Xenopus tropicalis: one gene and its partners. The protein of the gene in region 3 interacts with the protein of the main gene of each other region in a biochemical or structural test. Links are inferred from orthologs where the notes say so. Each region holds a gene or a part of one and is shown on either strand. Other genes may lie near its edges.

Region 1 (5,073 bases), on a different chromosome or scaffold from region 3:
GCCTGGCAGATGGTGATAACTTGGCATTTCAGAGCTCCCTGTTCCAGATCCCATTGACAGAAGAGAGACTGAATAAGCCATTAAAGCACATTTAGTGGGGCAGCATCTGATTTGGGTGGGGGGTATTAGTGCCATTTACCAGGCACAGTAACAGCAGCCATCAGAGACTTGAGTCGCATTTCCATGTAGATTGTGACAACCTGACAGTTTGATTTCACCCTGCATTATAGAAGCAGTAATTATATACTGTGTGTCAGGCACATGAGGGGTTAAACTGCAGATTGGGGGAAGGAAAGGGTCTTACTCCAGAGAGGCGACAGACAGAGAATGGAATTATGCTCATGTATCTCAGACTGGTTGTTAAGGTAACAGCCCCAAGGGGAGCAGCTAGCGAATCTGTGAATTACAGCATGGGCTGGTACGGGGGAGTCTTCCTCAGCAGACAGGCATAGAATGGTGCATTTCAATGAGACATAATGATTTGTGGTGAATTCAGATTATTAATTGATATTATTTATGTGGCAGATTGACATTTAAAGTGGTTTGCTAAACCCATCATTTATGCAATCAGAAGCACTACTGCACAAGGTAGCGCAGGCATAGCTTACTAAAGAATGCCAATAATCTCACTGAGTGGGATCTACTATGGAGACAATGAAGTGTGCAATGCAGGAACAGGTGTGGGTTTCTCCTCTCCATATCTGTGTGTATCGGAACATGTTCTCCCCCACCCACCTTGCACAGTAAAATGGGAGGTTTAGGGTGGCCTGAAAACATGTGCTCCATGCAGTGAGAAAATGGGAGAGGCCAATTGTTACAGCAGTTTAACCCCCAGAGGCAGCTCGGTAGCATTATGTCTGTTTTATTGCTGCCACAGTTATATGTTTAAATGTGAATGGTAAGGCATGAGCTATCTGTGCCATGCTGGCACCCCCTTCCCACTGCAGATCAATGACTGGTCACTGCCTCTAATGTCACTGGATTTCACTCCTGGCTTAGGGTTGCCATTGTCTCATTTGTGGCAGCAGAAGGACAGCATTATACTTAAATTTGACTTGCTAATCCCCAGTGGGATTCGGTTGTGTGTAGGAGTGAGTGGGTGTGGACAGGCTTGGTGCTGCACATTATTGATCTGTAATCCTTTGTTAGTGCGTCCTGCAACTGAACATATATCCCACTGATCTTTACTGCTGTACAGGCACTGATAATTGGCTGCTGGGCAGATCAGTGAATGATTTTATTTTTTTATTCGATGGCTAATTAATGATTGTAGAGTCCAAATCTGTCATCTATAGATCTATCATCTATTGCTCATCTGCTCATGGTCTATTTATATATAATGACTATATCTATCTATAACTATCTATCTATCTATCTATCTCTATATCTATCTTTCTTTCATGTAGTCTGTCAGTCACTTGCTATTTGCACAACTTATGTGACAGTCTTTGCACGTTAAACCTTATTACAATGCCGCATTATTAAATACATTAATCATTTTCAGATTTATAATGAATGTAGTGTATTTCCATTCTATATACACTTCTTTTGTGACACCTGTACCTCCAGTAAATGTTCTTTTCTCGCCGGAATGTACACCATTTTTAATGCTGATCATAGGCAGGTCCTCCTTATGCAATTTATATTGCCTTACCCTGGCAATATGCTGACCTCCCCACCTCTGGTAACAGGGTTTTTGTGGGATATGGCATGTGGTAATTGCCTTCGCTGTGGCATCTCTCAGCCGTGGCAACTGATTCCTTTGTGTTGACTGAGGCTGCGGCAGAATGAAAGAGATGACATCATGGCACATGTGCAAGGAATGCCTACAGTATGTATGTAGGAAATGTGCAAAAGGATTATAGAGTACACCTGCTCCTGATGGTGGAGTCACATGGAGAACACAATTGGATTTGCTTGGAAAGTAATATTGATTTAAGCAGGAAACCCTTAACACCACCCCCGCCACAAAAAAATAAAGCCCTGATTAATATGCGGCGAGTGCATTTAGATGAAAAGCCATCAATTTGTGTTAAAGAGCAACTACACCCAAACCGCTGTTTTTAGCAAAGTGAAATAAATGTAATTCTAAGCTACTTTTCACCTTGTCTACTAAAAAAACCAATAAAACATTAAATAAACCCATTAGGATTGATTTGCCTCCAATACGGATTACTTATATCTTAGTTGGGATCAAATACAACTAAGATATAATTATTAATTTATTATTACAGAGAAAAAGGAAATCAATTTGAAAAATCTGAATTATTTGATTTAAATAGAGTCCATGGGAGAAAGGCTTTCTGTAATTTGGAGCTTTCTACATAACGGGTTCCTGGATAACAGATCCCATACCTGTACGTTCATTTAAGCTCTTCAGTGGTTTTAAAGTTATCCATATATACTGTATATATATATAATTGCCCTGAAGAGCAGTATGTGTTTATCCCTTTCCCAACATTGCAGCTGGGATGTCAGTTTACATGGTCTCAGGAGTCAGAACCAACAGAGCAAAGAATATAAAGAGCCAGACAGATATTGCTTTCAAAAACTTTCAAACCACTGAAATGTATATTGGAACATTGCTTATAAATAAATATGTTTTCATTTGGTGGAACGGCTTCTTGTTCAGATTTCCTTTTCTTTGTGTCAAAATCCAAATCTTGGGGATAGAAGAGATATTTCATTATAGACAGCTGTATATACAGTATAAAGGGGAACTCCCAAAACAATAGTGCAGAAATATGTGGAGAATGTTTATAAAAAAGTCCTTGCTTGTACGGGTTGATTTCTTTCCATGACTTTCTTTGTGATGAGGCCGCCGTCTCCTTTCTCCTTAATGAGACTGAACTGATTTTGTTATAACAGAGCAGTTTGCTGCCTGACTGCATGGGAGTAAGTGGGTGTGGCTGACATACATTTAATGCCTATGTATATCCACATTTATTTTAATGAGGTCTTCCTAAGTGCACAATAGTAGCACCGTAGGGATGTTACTGCTCCAAAACAAAGCTTCGATAAATCACATCACCAAGGAAAAGCTTTACTCATCAATCTTTGATGCCCAGACAGAACAGGTTTATATGGGCTCAGGTGTTAATTCTGGTTTTTCCATGCTGCTTCGCTCAATTAGCTGGCCCAGCACTTATCTGTTAGCTCAGTACATTTACTTTGCCTATTAATTATTCACAAACTTTGAGTAACATGAGAATTTGCTGCTAAAGACTAAAAGGAATTATTTATGCTACCAGGGGGGTGGTGTTATTGTCTGGTTGGATGTTACATTTATATTCTTGGATGGATATTTCTCTAGATTTCCAGAGGAAGTGAGAAATGGAGCTTGACTTTGGCCACTTTGATGAGAGGGATAAGACTTCCAGGAACGCACGAGCATCTCGAATGAATGGCTTGCCTAGCCCTACTCACAGCGCCCACTGCAGCTTCTACCGGACCCGGACCCTGCAGGCGCTGAGCAACGAGAAGAAGGCCAAAAAGGTCCGGTTCTACCGCAATGGAGATCGCTACTTCAAGGGGATTGTCTATGCGGTGTCCTCTGACAGATTCCGAAGTTTTGATGCGCTGTTGGCTGATCTAACCAGGTCGCTTTCTGATAACATTAATCTGCCCCAGGGGGTTCGCTTTATCTACACCATTGATGGAATGAACAAGATAGCCAACATGGATGAGTTAGAGGAAGGTAAGTCCACCAAATGATTTAACAAAAAAATGCAACAACAGTTGTGTTATGACTCCTTAGTAAATGAGCCCCATTGGGGTATGGGATAATTGATTTGTCATCCTCTCAGTTTGGATGCAACATCTATTATACAGGAGTTCCATTTGCAGCAGATTTCGCAGCCCAAATGATGAATAGAAATGTTTTATTTAATGGTATAACCCTGGCAGTAAAATGGTTGGCAGAATATGTTTATCGATTGGCAATTACAAGGTTCATGTATATAAAATGGATATGGTCTTTAAAGTCATAGTGCAAACCAAATGTATTTACCTTTCCACTGCTCCGGGGGATTGGTTATTTAGAGCAACATATGATTCATTATATGATTTCTGTTTCATAGAAGAATGTACAGAATTATGTCATAATTGGCCATAAGTGCAAAAATCAGGATTTGGGGTTGACCTGGATAAGGAATGGCCATTGTCTCTGGATATGAGGTTCATCAACTTGCTAAATGCTTCGCTAACTTAGTTTTACACAAGTTCGCTCCTTGGCTGGAGGATGTAGTTAAGAAGCCAAGTGGTATTTAAACTTAGGCCTGTGATAATAATAAAACCATACAGGGATTTTGGCTGCCCCCCAAGTGCATTCCATATTTCCAATATATGACATCATATTTAATAAAGTGTGGCTCAGAGGCACGTGGATATATATGGTAAAACTAATCCAAGTCATTCAATGGAAAATGTTGCAGTGCTCTAGAGTAATTCTATACATATGGACTTATGGCAGCCCTCCATCTCACTAATGTGAAACAATAGCAGGGAATAAAAAGTCTTCTACAAGATACGTCAGTCTTGGAGATTGTTGAGGACCCTAAAATTAAAAATTCACCCACAAATGTATTTAATTAGAGGTCCCTAAGTATTCCCACAAGCCCATCATTGGATAGAGAATACAGCATACCTTTCAACATTTTAGAAACTGAAAAGCGGGACGGCTGTTCTGAACAAAAAGCCACGCCCCCTTAGTTTACATGTCTGCCCTCAAAAATACGCCCCTTTTTACGTCATGTTTGCACGTACAGCCTTACAAATTTGCCACAGGTCTGAGGTCTGTGAATATGAATTGTCAGCCATCTATAGACTTTCTGATAATGCTGGACATTTAATAGGTAATCCAGGACTGCGTGCAGCCAGCATAAATTCGGGACTGTCCCGCACAATGAGAGACACTTGGGAGGTATGATACAGGTATACATATGGGTATAAATATCCTAAAGTTCTCCCATAGAGTTCATTAAAGCAAATAACTTGTTTTTTCCTTTGGAATAATAAACCAGTACTTTGTACTTGTTGGTCACTAAACTGCATGGATCCTATTGGGTTTCTTTC
Region 2 (5,073 bases), about 30 Mb from region 3:
AAATCTTTCGCTTTAGAAGGAATGTAGCAACTTTAGAAAGATACAGGATATCCCTGACATAGGCCCTGTTATTTGTTGTTCATGTTGTGTTTCACCAACATCTGGGTATTTTTGTATGCTGTATATAGTTCATGGCTGAGTATGGTGTGCAAACTCATATATTCAATGGCACGCAAGTTAAGGCCCCCATACACAGGCCGATAGAAGCTGCCGATATCGGTCCCTTGGACAGACTCTGCAGCTTATCTGCCTGTGTAGGGGCAGAAACGAGCGGGCTGGCCGACCGATATCTGGCCTGAAATTGGGCAGATATCGACCGGCCGGGTTAGAAAATCCAGTCAGATCGGGGACCGCATCGGCTCGTTGATGCGGTCCCCGAACCGACTGCCCCATTGCCGCCTACATAATTATTATTATTATTTTTTTTTAACTTCAAGCTCCCCAATATCGCCCACCCGTGGGGATATCGGGGGAAGATCCGCTCGCTTGGCGATCTCGCCAAGCGAGCGGATCTTACCGTGTATGGGGACCTTTAGATTTTCAAATCATCTTCCTTTATTGCAGATCTAATTTCTTTGTTTTTTTTCTCTCCCTCTAAAGTTGGTAAACACATTCTTCAGTTTTCTGAGGCGCAAGACTGACTTCTTTGTTGGAGGAGAAAATGCTGCAGCTGAAAAGGTGAGAAAGAGCTGAACAGTTGTTCACCAAATTTTTGCAGAAATGCATTATATTCGTGTTGAAAGCAAGGTTACAAAAACAGATGAAGCCAGCTAATATGCTCTTTCAATATACAGTATGTTGGCTAACTCATCAATACACAGCATGTTAACTAGTTCAGTCTGTTCTTCATTAGGTTTCTTATCTGGCCTCCACATCTATGATTACATGTATACTCCTTGTTGACCTATAATTTTTTTCCAGATACTCAAGTTTGATACATTGTCATTTGTTTGATATACGATGTGACTAGTTAGTTGTTCCCTGGAGAATGTTTTTCTATGTATTCTTTTTTTTTTTTTTTTTCTAATTTCTGTTATAATCAGTTTGTTAGAACAGTTTCTCCACAGGGGGCAAACCTACATTATGGTTTGTTGATAAATGTGGCAGCAGATTCTCAGCAACACAATAATGTTGTGAGAAAAGCTGTTGATAAACAGGCTGATGCGAGTTGCCTACTCCAAATTGAGCTGAAAGCCTGTTGGTCTATGTATGGGCCATAACCATGGCCGGCCTGTTGTCTATTGGGCAGACTAGAAAATCCAAGGACAGCATTGGGCTTTTAATTTGATTGTTGTCACTGTGGGACAGTTGAATGGATAAACCCAACTGACCAAGTGGTCAGTTTCAGCAAAGGGTTTCCAAAATTTGTTTTTTCTCTACTTACATGTTTCTTTCCCTTTAATGCAGAGATATACTGTGTGAATGTACAAATTATTTTTTTTTTTCTACAGCTCATCACCCAGGCCTTCAACCACCACAATAAACTAGCTTTAGCAGCTCAGAAACAGAAGGATGCTGATCGTCTGGAGAGAGAGGCTGTGAGGCAAGAACGGGAAGCCAAGAAAAAAGAAACGGAAGCTGGAGAGTCCAGAATCACAGAGCTCACTGATGAGGAAGCAGAGAGACTACAAAAAGAAATTGATAAGGTTAAACACTAGAAAATGAGAAGCCATCACTTATTATATTTCCAGCAGTGCAAATATTTTTAAACATTTTTTTTTTGATTTGCAGAACAAAGAGAAAGAGAAGGCAACTAGAGAGACAGAGGAGAAACCAGAGCCTGAGAAGGTAAGGTTATAAACAACAACAAATAACTGTTAGGAGAAACACTGATGTGCTCTTGGAAAAATATGATCAATGTAAAGTGATGTCTCAGCAATAGTGAAGGAGGAGAATAATAGGCTGTGATTGCTGGTTTTTGTATTCTGTAGGATGGAGAGGAAGAAAAGGAGGAGGAGGAAGAAGATGATGAGAAAGATAAAGGAAAGCTCAAACCAAATTCAGGAAATGGAGCCAACCTTCCTCATTACCGCTGGACACAAACCCTCTCTGAGGTTGATGTAAGTGTTTGTAAAGAATGTTGCTAAATATTTAGTCGCGTGTGATGTCCATAGAAAGAGCCTGGACAAAGGGAACTAAAAATTTTACCTCACAATTTTTTTTAGTTTGTTTTGTGGATTTTTATAGATAACTTTCCTACCATTTTAGCTCCAATACTTTATTCTTAAACAGCTGTCAGACACAGTGGTTTCAGACATGCTGTTTTCCAGACTGGTGTCCTAACATTAATCTATGTGCATATATATGCTAAAGACCACTGACACAGAGGAAATGACAGCAGTTACACCACTGACTGGGCAACCAGCTCAGTATTGCATGAGGAGAGGTTTTTTTATGCAAAATCTGCTCTTAGTATTGTTTGTTATTCCTGTACATCTGAGTTTTTGTTTAGATTTGTGGGGATGAATAATTGTTTTTGGTGTTTTTCCTAGTAAAAATGTGACAGATTTTTTTTTTTTTTACAAGGGGAGAGACTGAACTACCTACTGTGACCCTCCATAGATCTTAAAGGAGAAGGAAAGGCTAATAAAGAGTTAATCTCAAGCTGGGAGTGAGTTCTTAGCATTCTTGAGGGAGGGGGGAGCAAGAGAGAGGAGACAGCAGAAAGCTGTGTGTCTCTGGCACAGGAATTACCAACACAAGAAATCTTTTCACAGAGAAGTCAGTGCAGCGTTTCTGTGAGTGCTTATGGCTGTATTTACATAGACCTTTCTGATAAAGCTTACTTAGTTTTTACCTTTCTTTCTCCTTTAAAAGAGATACTGACAACAGAAATCTAACCATTTTTACATCTGTCTTAACATTGTCTTTGCATGTTTTTTTTACTTAAAAGTATTTGCTCGATGCGTTTACATTCCTGATCCCCTATGTTCCTCTATGAGGGGGCTGCCATATTTGTGCAGCAGTAGTCCTTTAGCATTAGAAACTGTTAAAGTAGAAGGAAAGGTAAAAACAAAGTAAGTTTTATCAGAAAGGTCTATGTAAATATGCCATAAGCACTTACAGTAATGCTGCAGTCCTCTATGAAAAGAGGCACAGGATTTCTTTTCTCCTATTTTGTACACGTTCTTAGGGTATCTGACTTCCTCTCTCAGAAAAATCCTTCATACCCAGGCCAGAGTCTGAGCAGTTCTCTCCCATAAGAATTCATAAAACCCACTCCCCCCACCCTTAAGAATGCGTAATCTAAACTATAACGGCTAAACTGCAAGCAGGAAGCTATGAAGATCAAGATAAAATGGCAGCTGCAATCTTAAGCAAACAGTGAAAACTTCTAGGGCTCTCTACTCGGGTATAGTAAAGCTTTCTGCAGAATAAATATAGCATTCCAAGTGGCACTAATGTGGTAAATCTATTGGTAGTAAAATGCTGAAATGACTGTCCCTTCTTAATCTGCCATTTAAAGCAGAAGGAAAGTCATGTTGGCAAAAGAGTCAGGTTTAGGAACTTCCAGTAACAATTACTTACAAAAGCAGCCCTATCAGTGAAAAACAATCAACATGACCTATAGGTAATATTTAATGTACATTAATATTTTGAAGAGCAGTTTTTTTAGTGTCAGTATCACTTTAATAAGAGATTACAGATCTGGCAATCATCCAGGTATATGTTTAAGCCAGGCAGAGTGTTCGCACTTTGGCATGCTCATTTCTGCTCATAGAAGCACCAATATTTGCAGTTCCATTAGTTTCCAAACAAACTGCATAATGATTAGTTCATATGTGGACCCCTATTTTGGTTTGGATGATCAAACCACAAAAATTAATGTGGAAGAAGAACTGATTAATTATATGTTACTAAATATGTTGTTATATGCCAAACCATACAACTTATTGGGCCAACAACTGTGGTGAGCGATTGGACCAACCAACATACAGGATGTTCAGTTGGATCAGAGCAACATGGTCATCTGTGTGGGTGAAACAACCAACTAGTCAACCTATGGTAACTGTTGGATATCTTGTTATTTGGCCCATTAGAAATCAGCTTTATGTGAATTTGGATAAAGTTGTTGAATAGCCTTACATACTAGTAAAAAAGTAATTTTTGTATTGCTCCCTCCCTGGAGGTAAGGAGCTGACCTGAAAGTTGGTTCAGGGTTGTGTCTCACTGTAACTGGATTTGGTTGGGTCTAATTTAGAGGCTTTACGTGGCCGGGTCTCTTGTGCTTTACATGCTTTTATTACAGTGTTCATCTGGTTGCACGTGGAAGCTAGCATGTTCAGCAGCAGTTAAACAGCCAAAGGCTATTTATGCTATATCTTAATAGTTCTAAAAACACAGTTAAAGGAGAAGAAAAGGCTAATAAAGTGTTAATCTCAAGCTACAGACATACCTTCAGTTCTCTCAATAGTGCCCCTTAAGTCTCTCCATATTTTCCTGTTCAGATGATCTGAAGCGTCATAGTAAAAAGAAATGCTGAGCTCTGTAAACAAAATTCCCATAATGCCAAGTTCCTGCACCAAGACCAAGACCCATGTACATGTGCAGTGTGTAAGACTATGAGGAAGCTTCCTGCTGTATAGCTCAGATCACTAATTCCTAAGGGAGAGGGGAGCATAGACTCTGGCATAGGAAAAAAGGAGACAAGAAATCATGTGTTTCTTTTGATAGAGAACTCAGTGCAGCTTTTCTGTGAGTACGTATAGCTGTATTTACATAGACCTTTCTGATAAAGCTCACTTCGTTTTTACCTTTCCTTCTCCTTTAACGAGGAAGCATTTTGTTTTCTAAATTCTATAGCTGTTTATGCAACTTTATGCAACTTTTTGCAAACTGCTGATTAAAGGAATACTGACAGTATATAATTTCAATAATTTCGTCCCCAGGACCTGATAGCCTGGTGATGGTACCTTTTTGAATTGCTGTATTTTCAAAACTAAAGCAGCCTGAAAATGTTAGCACGACTTCTTAAGTAGAGCTTTAGGCAGTAAGGTTACTGAATGCAAGCTCGACTACCTAAGAAGAGCTTAATGCAGTAGGGTTACTGAGAGCAACTATAGTGAAGAACAA
Region 3 (5,501 bases):
CATGTTACAGATTGTCAAAGACTGTGACGGGACATTATCAGGAATATGGAATATTTGCCCATAATATTTTTCAAGATTTGTCCCCCTCTATTTTCCTATAACCAGGTACTCTCCCCCCCCCCCCCCGCCCCACTACAATATCCTACCTGCTTTGGCAATGAGAACACAGGAGAGCTACAGCAAACAGTGGAATAACAGCCAGGTGAATAATGCCACACCTATATAACAATGCCCATCTTAAAAATCACTAGCCTCTAGCATGGCATGTGCTGCAGGGCTAGTCAACAAAACCAGAATGCATGTAACATGGCCGAAAGCAAGAAAAAAGTTTAAATGCCCATGAAAATCAAATACATACTATAGCTGCTTAACAGCAATTAGTACATTTATATTTGAATAAAATATTGAGATACCAGCTTGATAACAATTTATACTATTATACTATACAGATAATATTTAATATAACTTTTTAAAGATGCAATGATAGAACAACTTTCAAAGCATTAATCAGGCACTGCATTGTAGGAGTGGCTTTCCATAAGACAAAGAATGAGCTTTATTTAAAAAAATAAAAACAAAGAAAACAAAAGAGTAAGGATAAACCACATTAAAACCACTGGGTAAAGGGTTTGTCACTCCTGGACAGAAATTTTAAAAAAAGCTTTCTGTAAAGCAAAAGTAGAAAATAGGGTATTAGTGTATACAAAATGTTAACCCTTCTATGTAAAGTAACAATGCAGAGCATTCCATTACTAATATACTAATATAAAATATCCTAACATTTAATGAACTGTAAAAGTTCACGGATAATCTGGCAACATACCTTTAACCAAGCAATTGATGCAGAGGAAATCAGAAGTAATAAAAATATCTCAGCAATTAAATGTCACAATGTGGGTATATGGTGTTTTACAGAGCCTTTGTTGTAAAGTCCAAGCATTTGGATATCCAGGAAGCAACATTTCACCACTGATAACGAAAATGGAAGTAAACAATGTTTTTTTGTTTTACTAAATAGCTCAAATTCAACCCAAAACTTAAGGTTTATATAGTGACATTTTAGTCAGGCTGAGATGCTAGAATCCCTTTAAAACACTGTGGAGAGTTTACTGTCACCAGACAAATAAAACAATAAATATTTATTCTCCACATAAACAAGATAAAATATAAAACAATTGTCTGATAGTATTAATTATATAAAGTAAAACCTCAACAAGTGTATAGAAGAAAAAAAAAAGCAAAAGCTTTGTTTAAAAGAAATTTTCAGTTTCTTAATTGCTCAGATTTAGTCACATAATTTGGTACTGTGAAGCTGTGTAATCCTGAATGATGCCAAATACACTATTTTAGCAGAGCTGCAGAGCCAAAGCATCGCCTCTGCCTCCTTACTCCACCCAGTTTCCTCTCTGTCCCTGTTTGACGGCGGTGCGCAGTATCCTTTATTATGAGCCCAAAAAAAAAAAAAAAAACCAGACAAACAACAAAATCGCTTCTATCCAATTGAACACATTGGGAAGCATCTAAACACACACATCTATATTATAAATATTTTAATTATCGAGATAGAAATATAGAAACTATGTTTTCTCTTCCAGAATACTAATGGTTAAGGATAAATTGCACAAGAACCATCAGCAACATGCAAACACAGGGCAGTTTTACAGCACTCAAAGATGAACACGCAACCCATAAAAAAATAAAATAAAACAGGGTTACAAATGCCTAGTCATGATTAAAATTCCTGGCGTAAGCAATATATTGTTCATTTGTTAATCTGAATGCCTTACATAGGCACACATGACAGAGATTTAAAAAAAAAAAACAGCTTTTCTAGAGAAATAACAAAGCATGGATTTAAAGAAAAATAGCACTTATCACCTTTAGAAAACCAAATGAGAGAATGGATGTCAGATTTATAGCAGACTTATTGATCTGCTAAAACATTAGGAGAAAAGATACCCATGTTTTACAAAATAAGTATGAAACATTTGTATCCGGATGACTAGTGCAGGTAATTACCATTAGTTTCAGCCATCATAATTTCCCATGTGTCAATCCCAACTCTTGCTGCAAGCCTTTCAAGTGTCTGACTTGCAACATGTACACACCTATACAGCATCGCATAATACACATAGCCCTTTATGGACTTAACCCATCATCCCTATCCTTGGAGACACCAGGGCATGACAATGTAAATGAATGTTATCATGATGTGAGCACTCAACTATAAAAGTTATATGTCAGAAGACTTAAATGGCAGCACTTGCATGACACAAAAGATGACAAATGTCACTTCTAGGCCCACCCCCCTGTTTTTCTTGATGTTCCGCACAAGAAGAGGCCCTTATGTAATGCTGTTTAGAGATGTAGCCTTGTCCAGATGGTGAAGACATCCCCGTTAGCAAGATGTTGCAGGAAGAATTAAAAATAACATAATACTGGAAAAGGTGCGGGGGCGGGCGTGTACAAACATGGAATGCCCCTGCCACACACGAGTTAAATTGATACACAGCAGTTATCTCGTTAAGGTGAAAGTCCTTTTATTAGTAAACGGCTTATCAAATGAATCAACTGAATCCACATTATATGCTTTTAACTGAAACTATGCATTTATGACACAGAAGTGAAATTGAAATTCATTTCCACAGAAACATTCATGTGCCCCCCAGGCACAGCTGGCTGAAAGTTGCAGTTCAACGACAATTAGTAGGCCACAAACACACACATCACTGCAGCAAAGAATCATATAAATAAGGGCTAGTAAATCATTAATCAAGGGCACAACAGACATCAAACCTGCAGCTCTAAACAAGTGGGGGTACCAGACCATCCCTTGATGCTTATAGCATATACATGTCTGAGGATTCACTGATTGTGATGTCAAAGACGCCCTACCCTATGTTCTCCAGTTGCTGCTGAACTCTAACTCCCACCATCCTTTGACAGCTGGGAAAAATGGTTCTGCAATAGCAGGAGGTGCAGGTTTTATAGCCAAGCTACAGCATTAGTAGGCATGTTGCTGTAATGTACCATTAAGGCGTCTTGTTTAAAGCGATGATCTGGCAAACTGCACCCCCACCCCTCCACAAACAACACCCACAAGCACCCCTATTATAAGCCTTCCAAGCAGAAGACTGGGGGAAGCAGCTCATGAAACAGCTGGGAAGGTGCAAGCAGGAGATCCTTGCCTAAAGCTTTCCTGTTCCACCCCCCTGCGGGCTAGGAACAGTAACGGCTGGCCGCCATTTTGAGAAAGTGAGAGAGAGGAGAAGATGAAGGAGGGAGGGGAGGAGGCGGCGGCAGCAGCAGCAGCAGCCACATCGTCAGACAAGGCCTTGCATCCCGCCTCTCTCCCGCCCGGTGATCTAGCCGGGCACTTACCGTGCAGGGTTATCCCAAGCACACAGCGGGAGAAGGATTTCTTCTCATGGCCGCCGGGCAGCTCCCCTGGGCAAGGTCTCTGGAAGGGCGGGGGATGAGGCTCCCAGTTAGAGCCTGACGAGGTGACAAGAAATCAAATAAATAAAAATAAAGAGCTTGGGTGTGGAGGTCGGCGGGGCTCGCTTGTATGTACGTTGTTTCCTGTCAAATTGCACTGAATCCGTCTTCTCTGCAGCTATTCCTTTCTAAGGGTCCGTGCCTCCCTTTCTTCTCCGTGGTTTCCGCCGGGGCTCTCAGGGAAGCCGCCGCCGCCACCGTGCTGTCAGCGAAACGGAGCTCAGGAGCGCGGTGACGTCATATCAACCGCTGAAGGAGAGGAGGAGGAGGGAGCGACCGGCCGGCTGTGGGGAGTGGGCTTGCTTAATCGGGAACCGCGCCTGCGCCCTAGCGGCGGCTGCCTAGGCGTGGACGAGGAGGGGGAGAGATGGGGAGGGATGACAAAGGCAAATGACGCAGGGAAGGCGGAGAGCGCAGGCGCCATTATGACGGAAGAGGGAGCATGCTTGCCCTTCGCGTTCACGTGAAAGGAGAGTTTGTTTGTGCAATTCCTGCGCTCCCCTGTGTGACAGCTGTCTCTGTGTGCGTGAGAGTCAGTACTCTGTATGTGTGTGTGAGAGAGTCAGTACTCTGTATGTGTGTGTGAGAGAGTCAGTACTCTGTATGTGAGAGAGTCAGTACTCTGTATGCGTGTGAGAGTCAGTACTCTGTATGCGTGTGAGAGAGTCAGTACTCTGTATGTGTGTGAGAGAGTCAGTACTCTGTATGTGAGAGAGTCAGTACTCTGTATGTGTGTGAGAGAGTCAGTACTCTGTGTGTGTGAGAGAGTCAGTACTCTATGTGTGTGAGAGAGTCAGTACTCTATGTGTGTGAGAGAGTCAGTACTCTGTATGTGAGAGAGTCAGTACTCTGTATGTGTGTGAGAGAGTCAGTACTCTGTATGTGTGTGAGAGAGTCAGTACTCTGTATGTGTGTGAGAGAGTCAGTACTCTGTATGTGTGTGAGAGAGTCAGTACTCTGTGTGTGTGTGAGAGAGTCAGTACTCTATGTGTGTGAGAGAGTCAGTACTCTATGTGTGTGAGAGAGTCAGTACTCTGTATGTGAGAGAGTCAGTACTCTGTATGTGTATGTGAGAGAGTCAGTACTCTGTATGTGTGTGTGAGAGAGTCAGTACTCTGTATGTGTGTGTGAGAGAGTCAGTACTCTGTATGTGTGTGTGAGAGAGTCAGTACTCTGTATGTGTGTGAGAGAGTCAGTACTCTGTATGTGTGTGAGAGGTTGGGAGTCAGTACTCTGTATGTGTGTGAGAGAGTCAGTACTCTGTATGTGTGTGAGAGAGTCAGTACTCTGTATGTGTGTGAGAGAGTCAGTACTCTGTGTGTGTGTGAGAGAGTCAGTACTCTATGTGTGTGAGAGAGTCAGTACTCTATGTGTGTGAGAGAGTCAGTACTCTATGTGTGTGAGAGAGTCAGTACTCTGTATGTGTGTGAGAGAGTCAGTACTCTGTATGTGTGTGAGAGAGTCAGTACTCTGTATGTGTGTGAGAGAGTCAGTACTCTGTATGTGTGTGAGAGAGTCAGTACTCTGTATGTGTGTGAGAGAGTCAGTACTCTGTGTGTGTGTGAGAGAGTCAGTACTCTATGTGTGTGAGAGAGTCAGTACTCTATGTGTGTGAGAGAGTCAGTACTCTGTATGTGTATGTGAGAGAGTCAGTACTCTGTATGTGTGTGTGAGAGAGTCAGTACTCTGTATGTGTGTGTGAGAGAGTCAGTACTCTGTATGTGTGAGAGTCAGTACTCTGTATGTGTGTGCGTGAGAGTCAGTACTCTGTATGCGTGAGAGTCAGTACTCTGTATGTGAGAGAGTCAGTACTCTGTATGTGAGAGAGTCAGTACTCTGTATGTGTGTGCGTGAGAGTCAGTACTCTGTATGTGTGTGTGAGAGAGTCAGTACTCTGTATGTGAGAGAGTCAGTACTCTGTATGTGTGTGTGAGAGAGTCAGTACTCTGTATGTGAGAGAGTCAGTACTCTGTATGTGAGAGAGTCAGTACTCTGTATGTGAG
Region 4 (5,073 bases), on a different chromosome or scaffold from region 3:
TACGGCGCTGCTGCTCATGTCGGAACCTACCCCTTGTCGAAGAATGACGTGTGCCCCGCGTGGGAGTATTTTACCCCGCTGCTGTTTAATGCGCTGCTGCCGCCACCGCTGCTGTTCAAGCCGACAGGTGCGTAGGATTTCCGAGACGCCTGGTCCTTGGCAAAGTTCCTACATGCCGCTAATTTAGATTCCAAGGCCTGGGGGGGGAAGAGAAAGCAAAAGTTACTTCCCAGTATGCAGCGTCCTGGGGGGAAGGGGGGGGGGTCTGAGTGGGGGGGGGGGGGCTAGGAGTTAAAGTGGTTGTTAAAGGGACAGACTTGTTCAGTGCTGGGAAACTGTGCTTATTGCTCCCAACTCCAATTGCAGGAACAGAGAACAGGGAGCCGGATTTACTCACATCAGCTGGGATTCTCATTGGGGGAAAGTTTTACAGGTCCTTTTCAAAAAATTAGCATATTGTGATAAAGTTCATTATTTTCTGTAATGTACTGATAAACATTAGACTTTCATATATTTTAGATTCATTACACACAACTGAAGTAGTTCAAGCCTTTTCTTGTTTTAATATTGATGATTGTGGCATACAGCTCATGAAAACCCAAAATTCCTATCTCAAAAAATTAGCATATTTCATCCGCCCAATAAAAGAAAAGTGTTTTTAATACAAAAAAAGTCAACCTTCAAATAATTATGTTCAGTTATGCACTCAATACTTGGTCGGGAATCCTTTTGCAGAAATGACTGCTTCAATGTGGCGTGGCATGGAGGCAATCAGCCTGTGGCACTGCTCAGGTGTTATGGAGGCCCAGGATGCTTCAATAGCGGCCTTAAGCTCATCCAGAGTGTTGGCTCTTGTGTCTCTCAACTTTCTCTTCACAATATCCCACAGATTCTCTATGGGGTTCAGGTCAGGAGAGTTGGCAGGCCAATTGAGCACAGTAATACCATGGTCAGTAAACCATTTACCAGTGGTTTTGGCACTGTGAGCAGGTGCCAGGTCATGCTGAAAAATGAAATCTTCATCTCCATAAAGCTTTTCAGCAGATGGAAGCATGAAGTGCTCCAAAATCTCCTGATAGCTAGCTGCATTGACCCTGCCCTTGATAAAACACAGTGGCCCAACACCAGCAGCTGACATGGCACCCCAGACCATCACTGACTGTGGGTACTTGACACTGGACTTCAGGCATTTTGGCATTTCCCTCTCCCCAGTCTTCCTCCAGACTCTGGCTCCTTGATTTCCGAATGACATACCTTGGACCACTGAGCAACAGTCCAGTGCTGCTTCTCTGTAGCCCAGGTCAGGCACTTCTGCCGCTGTTTCTGGTTCAAAAGTGGCTTGACCTGGGGAATGCAGCACCTGTAGCCCATTTCCTGCACACGCCTGTACACGGTGGCTCTGGATGTTTCTACTCCAGACTCAGTCCACTGCTTCCGCAGGTCCCCCAAGGTCAGGAATCGGTCCTTCTCCACAATCTTCCTCAGGGCCCAGTCACCTCTTCTCGTTGTGCAGCGTTTTCTGCCACACTTTTTCCTTCCCACAGACTTCCCACTGAGGTGCCTTGATACAGCACTCTGGGAACAGCCTATTTGTTCAGAAATTTCTTTTTGTGTCTTACCCTCTTGCTTGAGGGTGTCAATGATGGCCTTCTGGGCAGCAGTCAGGTCGGCAGTCTTACCCATGATTGCGGTTTTGAGTAATGAACCAGGCTGGGAGTTTTTAAAAGCCTCAGGAATCTTTTTAAGGTTTTTAGAGTTAATTAGTTGATTCAGATGATTAGGTTAATAGCTCGTTTAGAGAACCTTTTCATGATATGCTAATTTTTTGAGACAGGAATTTTGGGTTTTCATGAGCTGTATGCCACAATCATCAATATTAAAACAAGAAAAGGCTTGAACGACTTCAGTTGTGTGTAATGAATCTAAAATATATGAAAGTCTAATGTTTATCAGTACATTACAGAAAATAATGAACTTTATCACAATATGCTAATTTTTTGAAAAGGACCTGTATTGGGCAATATTGCTTTAAGAATACAGCCCTGATGTTGCTGGACTACAGCTCCCAGCATGCCTCACCCTTTATTATATGTTACATTATTCTGGGATTTGTAGTCCGGCAACAGCTGAGTAACGTTAGTTTGAGCCGTGCAGCAGGGTTTAGTTCCCCTTTAAAAGTTCTTCTCCACCATAATTACTTACCCCGACTTTCCTCAGCAGGTCCCCTACAATGTTAAGTGCTGATATTCGGGCAGAAGGTGTAAGTGGCGTTGTTCCGAAACCGTTTGGTATCCCTGCAACAGAAAGGAAACATGGCGTCACTCCACATGCGCTAACTGGCACCCAGTTTGTTGCTAGATAAACAAGACCCTAGCAACCAGATAGCTGCTAAAACGGAAAGCTGTTGAACAAAAAGCTAAATAACTGGAAAACCATAAAAATATAAAACGAAGACCAATAGCAAATTATCTCAGAATATCAATGTTTACCATAATATCATATAAAAAGTTAAAAGGGGAACTAACCCTTCAATATCTATTGTTACTGTGAGACCCGGATATGCAGAGCAAAGCTACCCCCCCGGGCCCCGGTAAGGAGTGATATGGGCCCCTAGCAGCAGCTGTCAGTGCACTCCATCTTACTAAAGGAAATCCCGTTTCAGTAAATTTCAGCTGCTTCTTGGGGTTTTTAAAGGGGAACTAAACCCTATTCATTCTATAACATACTAAAGAGAGAAGCCTGCAGCTCTACAGGGATTCCCCTAAACAAACCAGGGAAAATCCACCCCGGAGATGCGGAGAGTCCCATTCCATGTACTTGCCGTCACTGGGGCAATTATGGTTTGTTTGGGGGACGCCCACTAAATACCCTGCCCCCCCCGCAGATGAAGGAAAGCCCCTTTGCGGCGGCGCAGAAACCAGACCAACCTTTGGGTGGGGTGAAGCTGTTATCGGATACTTTGCCCACGGGGGTCGCTGGGAGGGAGAGAGAAGCCTGCACGGCCGAGTCGGTTTTATCACAGTCCAGAGTGGGCGAACTGGGGGCCGATTTCCTCGTGCCGTCCGTCTGTCTCTCCCGTACGGCTAATTCCTGCCTCAAGTCTGCGCAAAATAATAAGGGCACAGCCATGATATACACCCCTGCCGTATGTATACACTCGCACATATACACCCCCGCCGTATGTATACACTCGCACATATACACCCCCGCCGTATGTATACACTCACACATATACACCCCCGCCGTATGTATACACTCACACATATACACCCCTGCCGTATGTATACACTCGCACATATACACCCCTGCCGTATGTATACACTCGCACATATACACCCCCGCCGTATGTATACACTCGCACATATACACCCCCGCCGTATGTATACACTCGCACATATACACCCCCGCCGTATGTATACACTCGCACATATACACCCCCGCCGTATGTATAACACTCGCACATATACACCCCCGCCGTATGTATACACTCGCACATATACACCCCCGCCGTATGTATACACTCGCACATATACACCCCCGCCGTATGTATACACTCGCACATATACACCCCCACTGTACGTATACACTCACATATACACCCCCACTGTACGTATACACTCACATATACACCCCCGCCGTACGTATACACTCACATATACACCCCCGCTGTACGTATACACTCACATATACACCCCCACCGAACGTATACACTCACATATACACCCCCGCCGTACGTATACACTCACATATACACCCCCGCCGTACGTATACACTCACATATACACCCCACCGTACGTATACACTCACATATACACCCCCACCGTACGTATACACTCACATATACACCCCCACTGTACGTATACACTCACATATACACCCCCACTGTACGTATACACTCACATATACACCCCCACTGTACGTATACACTCACATATACACCCCCGCCGTACATATACACTTGCACATATACACCCCCGCCGTACTTATACACTTGCACATATACACCCCCACCGTACCTATACACTTGCACATATACACCCCCGCCGTACATATACACTTGCACATATACACCCCCGCCGTACATATACACTCACATATACACCCCCGCCGTACTTATACACTTGCACATATACACCCCCGCCGTACATATACACTTGCACATATACACCCCCACCGTACGTATACACTTGCACATATACACCCCCACCGTACGTATACACTTGCACATATACACCCCCACCGTACGTATACACTTGCACATATACACCCCCACCGTACGTATACACTTGCACATATACACCCCCACCGTACGTATACACTTGCACATATACACCCCCGCCGTACGTATACACTTGCACATATACACCCCCGCCGTACGTATACACTTACACATATACACCCCCGCCGTACGTATACACTCACATATACACCCCCACTGTACGTATACACTCACATATACACCCCCGCCGTACGTATACACTCACATATACACCCCCACTGTACGTATACACTCACATATACACCCCCGCCGTACGTATACACTCACATATACACCCCCGCCGTACGTATACACTCACATATACACCCCCGCCGTACGTATACACTTGCACATATACACCCCCGCCGTACGTATACACTCACATATACACCCCCACTGTACGTATACACTCACATATACACCCCCGCCGTACGTATACACTCACATATACACCCCCGCCGTACGTATACACTTGCACATATACACCCCCGCCGTACGTATACACTCACATATACACCCCCACTGTACGTATACACTCACATATACACCCCCACTGTACGTATACACTCACATATACACCCCCGCCGTACGTATACACTCACATATACACCCCCACTGTACGTATACACTCACATATACACCCCCGCCGTACGTATACACTCACATATACACCCCCACTGTACGTATACACTCACATATACACCCCCGCCGTACATATACACTTGCACATATACACCCCCGCCGTACTTATACACTTGCACATATACACCCCCGCCGTACATATACACTTGCACATATACACCCCCACCGTACGT

What was found.
Region 1: the proteins of pafah1b1 (region 3) and dcx form a complex in vitro, tested with the Homo sapiens proteins (2 studies listed by BioGRID). The link is inferred for Xenopus tropicalis from reciprocal best matches to the Homo sapiens genes PAFAH1B1 and DCX.
Region 2: the proteins of pafah1b1 (region 3) and nudc form a complex in vitro, tested with the Homo sapiens proteins (3 studies listed by BioGRID). The link is inferred for Xenopus tropicalis from reciprocal best matches to the Homo sapiens genes PAFAH1B1 and NUDC.
Region 4: the proteins of pafah1b1 (region 3) and ndel1 form a complex in vitro, tested with the Homo sapiens proteins (3 studies listed by BioGRID). The link is inferred for Xenopus tropicalis from reciprocal best matches to the Homo sapiens genes PAFAH1B1 and NDEL1.

What each region holds. Positions count from the first base shown.
Region 1 is NC_030684.2:51,680,451-51,685,523, reverse strand, and holds part of dcx (neuronal migration protein doublecortin), read left to right. Parts: intron 1-3,313; 5' UTR 3,314-3,333; coding exon 3,334-3,697; intron 3,698-5,073. UniProt on the Homo sapiens protein: Microtubule-associated protein required for initial steps of neuronal dispersion and cortex lamination during cerebral cortex development. May act by competing with the putative neuronal protein kinase DCLK1 in binding to a target protein.
Region 2 is NC_030678.2:77,788,282-77,793,354, forward strand, and holds part of nudc (nuclear migration protein nudC), read left to right. Parts: intron 1-600; coding exon 601-678; intron 679-1,451; coding exon 1,452-1,646; intron 1,647-1,731; coding exon 1,732-1,788; intron 1,789-1,931; coding exon 1,932-2,060; intron 2,061-5,073. UniProt on the Homo sapiens protein: Plays a role in neurogenesis and neuronal migration. Necessary for correct formation of mitotic spindles and chromosome separation during mitosis. Necessary for cytokinesis and cell proliferation.
Region 3 is NC_030678.2:47,815,862-47,821,362, reverse strand, and holds the start of pafah1b1 (lissencephaly-1 homolog), read right to left. Parts: upstream 3,668-5,501; 5' UTR 3,382-3,667; intron 1-3,381. UniProt on the Homo sapiens protein: Regulatory subunit (beta subunit) of the cytosolic type I platelet-activating factor (PAF) acetylhydrolase (PAF-AH (I)), an enzyme that catalyzes the hydrolyze of the acetyl group at the sn-2 position of PAF and its analogs and participates in PAF inactivation.
Region 4 is NC_030686.2:49,765,111-49,770,183, forward strand, and holds part of ndel1 (nuclear distribution protein nudE-like 1), read right to left. Parts: intron 3,102-5,073; coding exon 2,928-3,101; intron 2,295-2,927; coding exon 2,203-2,294; intron 198-2,202; coding exon 31-197; intron 1-30. UniProt on the Homo sapiens protein: Required for organization of the cellular microtubule array and microtubule anchoring at the centrosome. May regulate microtubule organization at least in part by targeting the microtubule severing protein KATNA1 to the centrosome.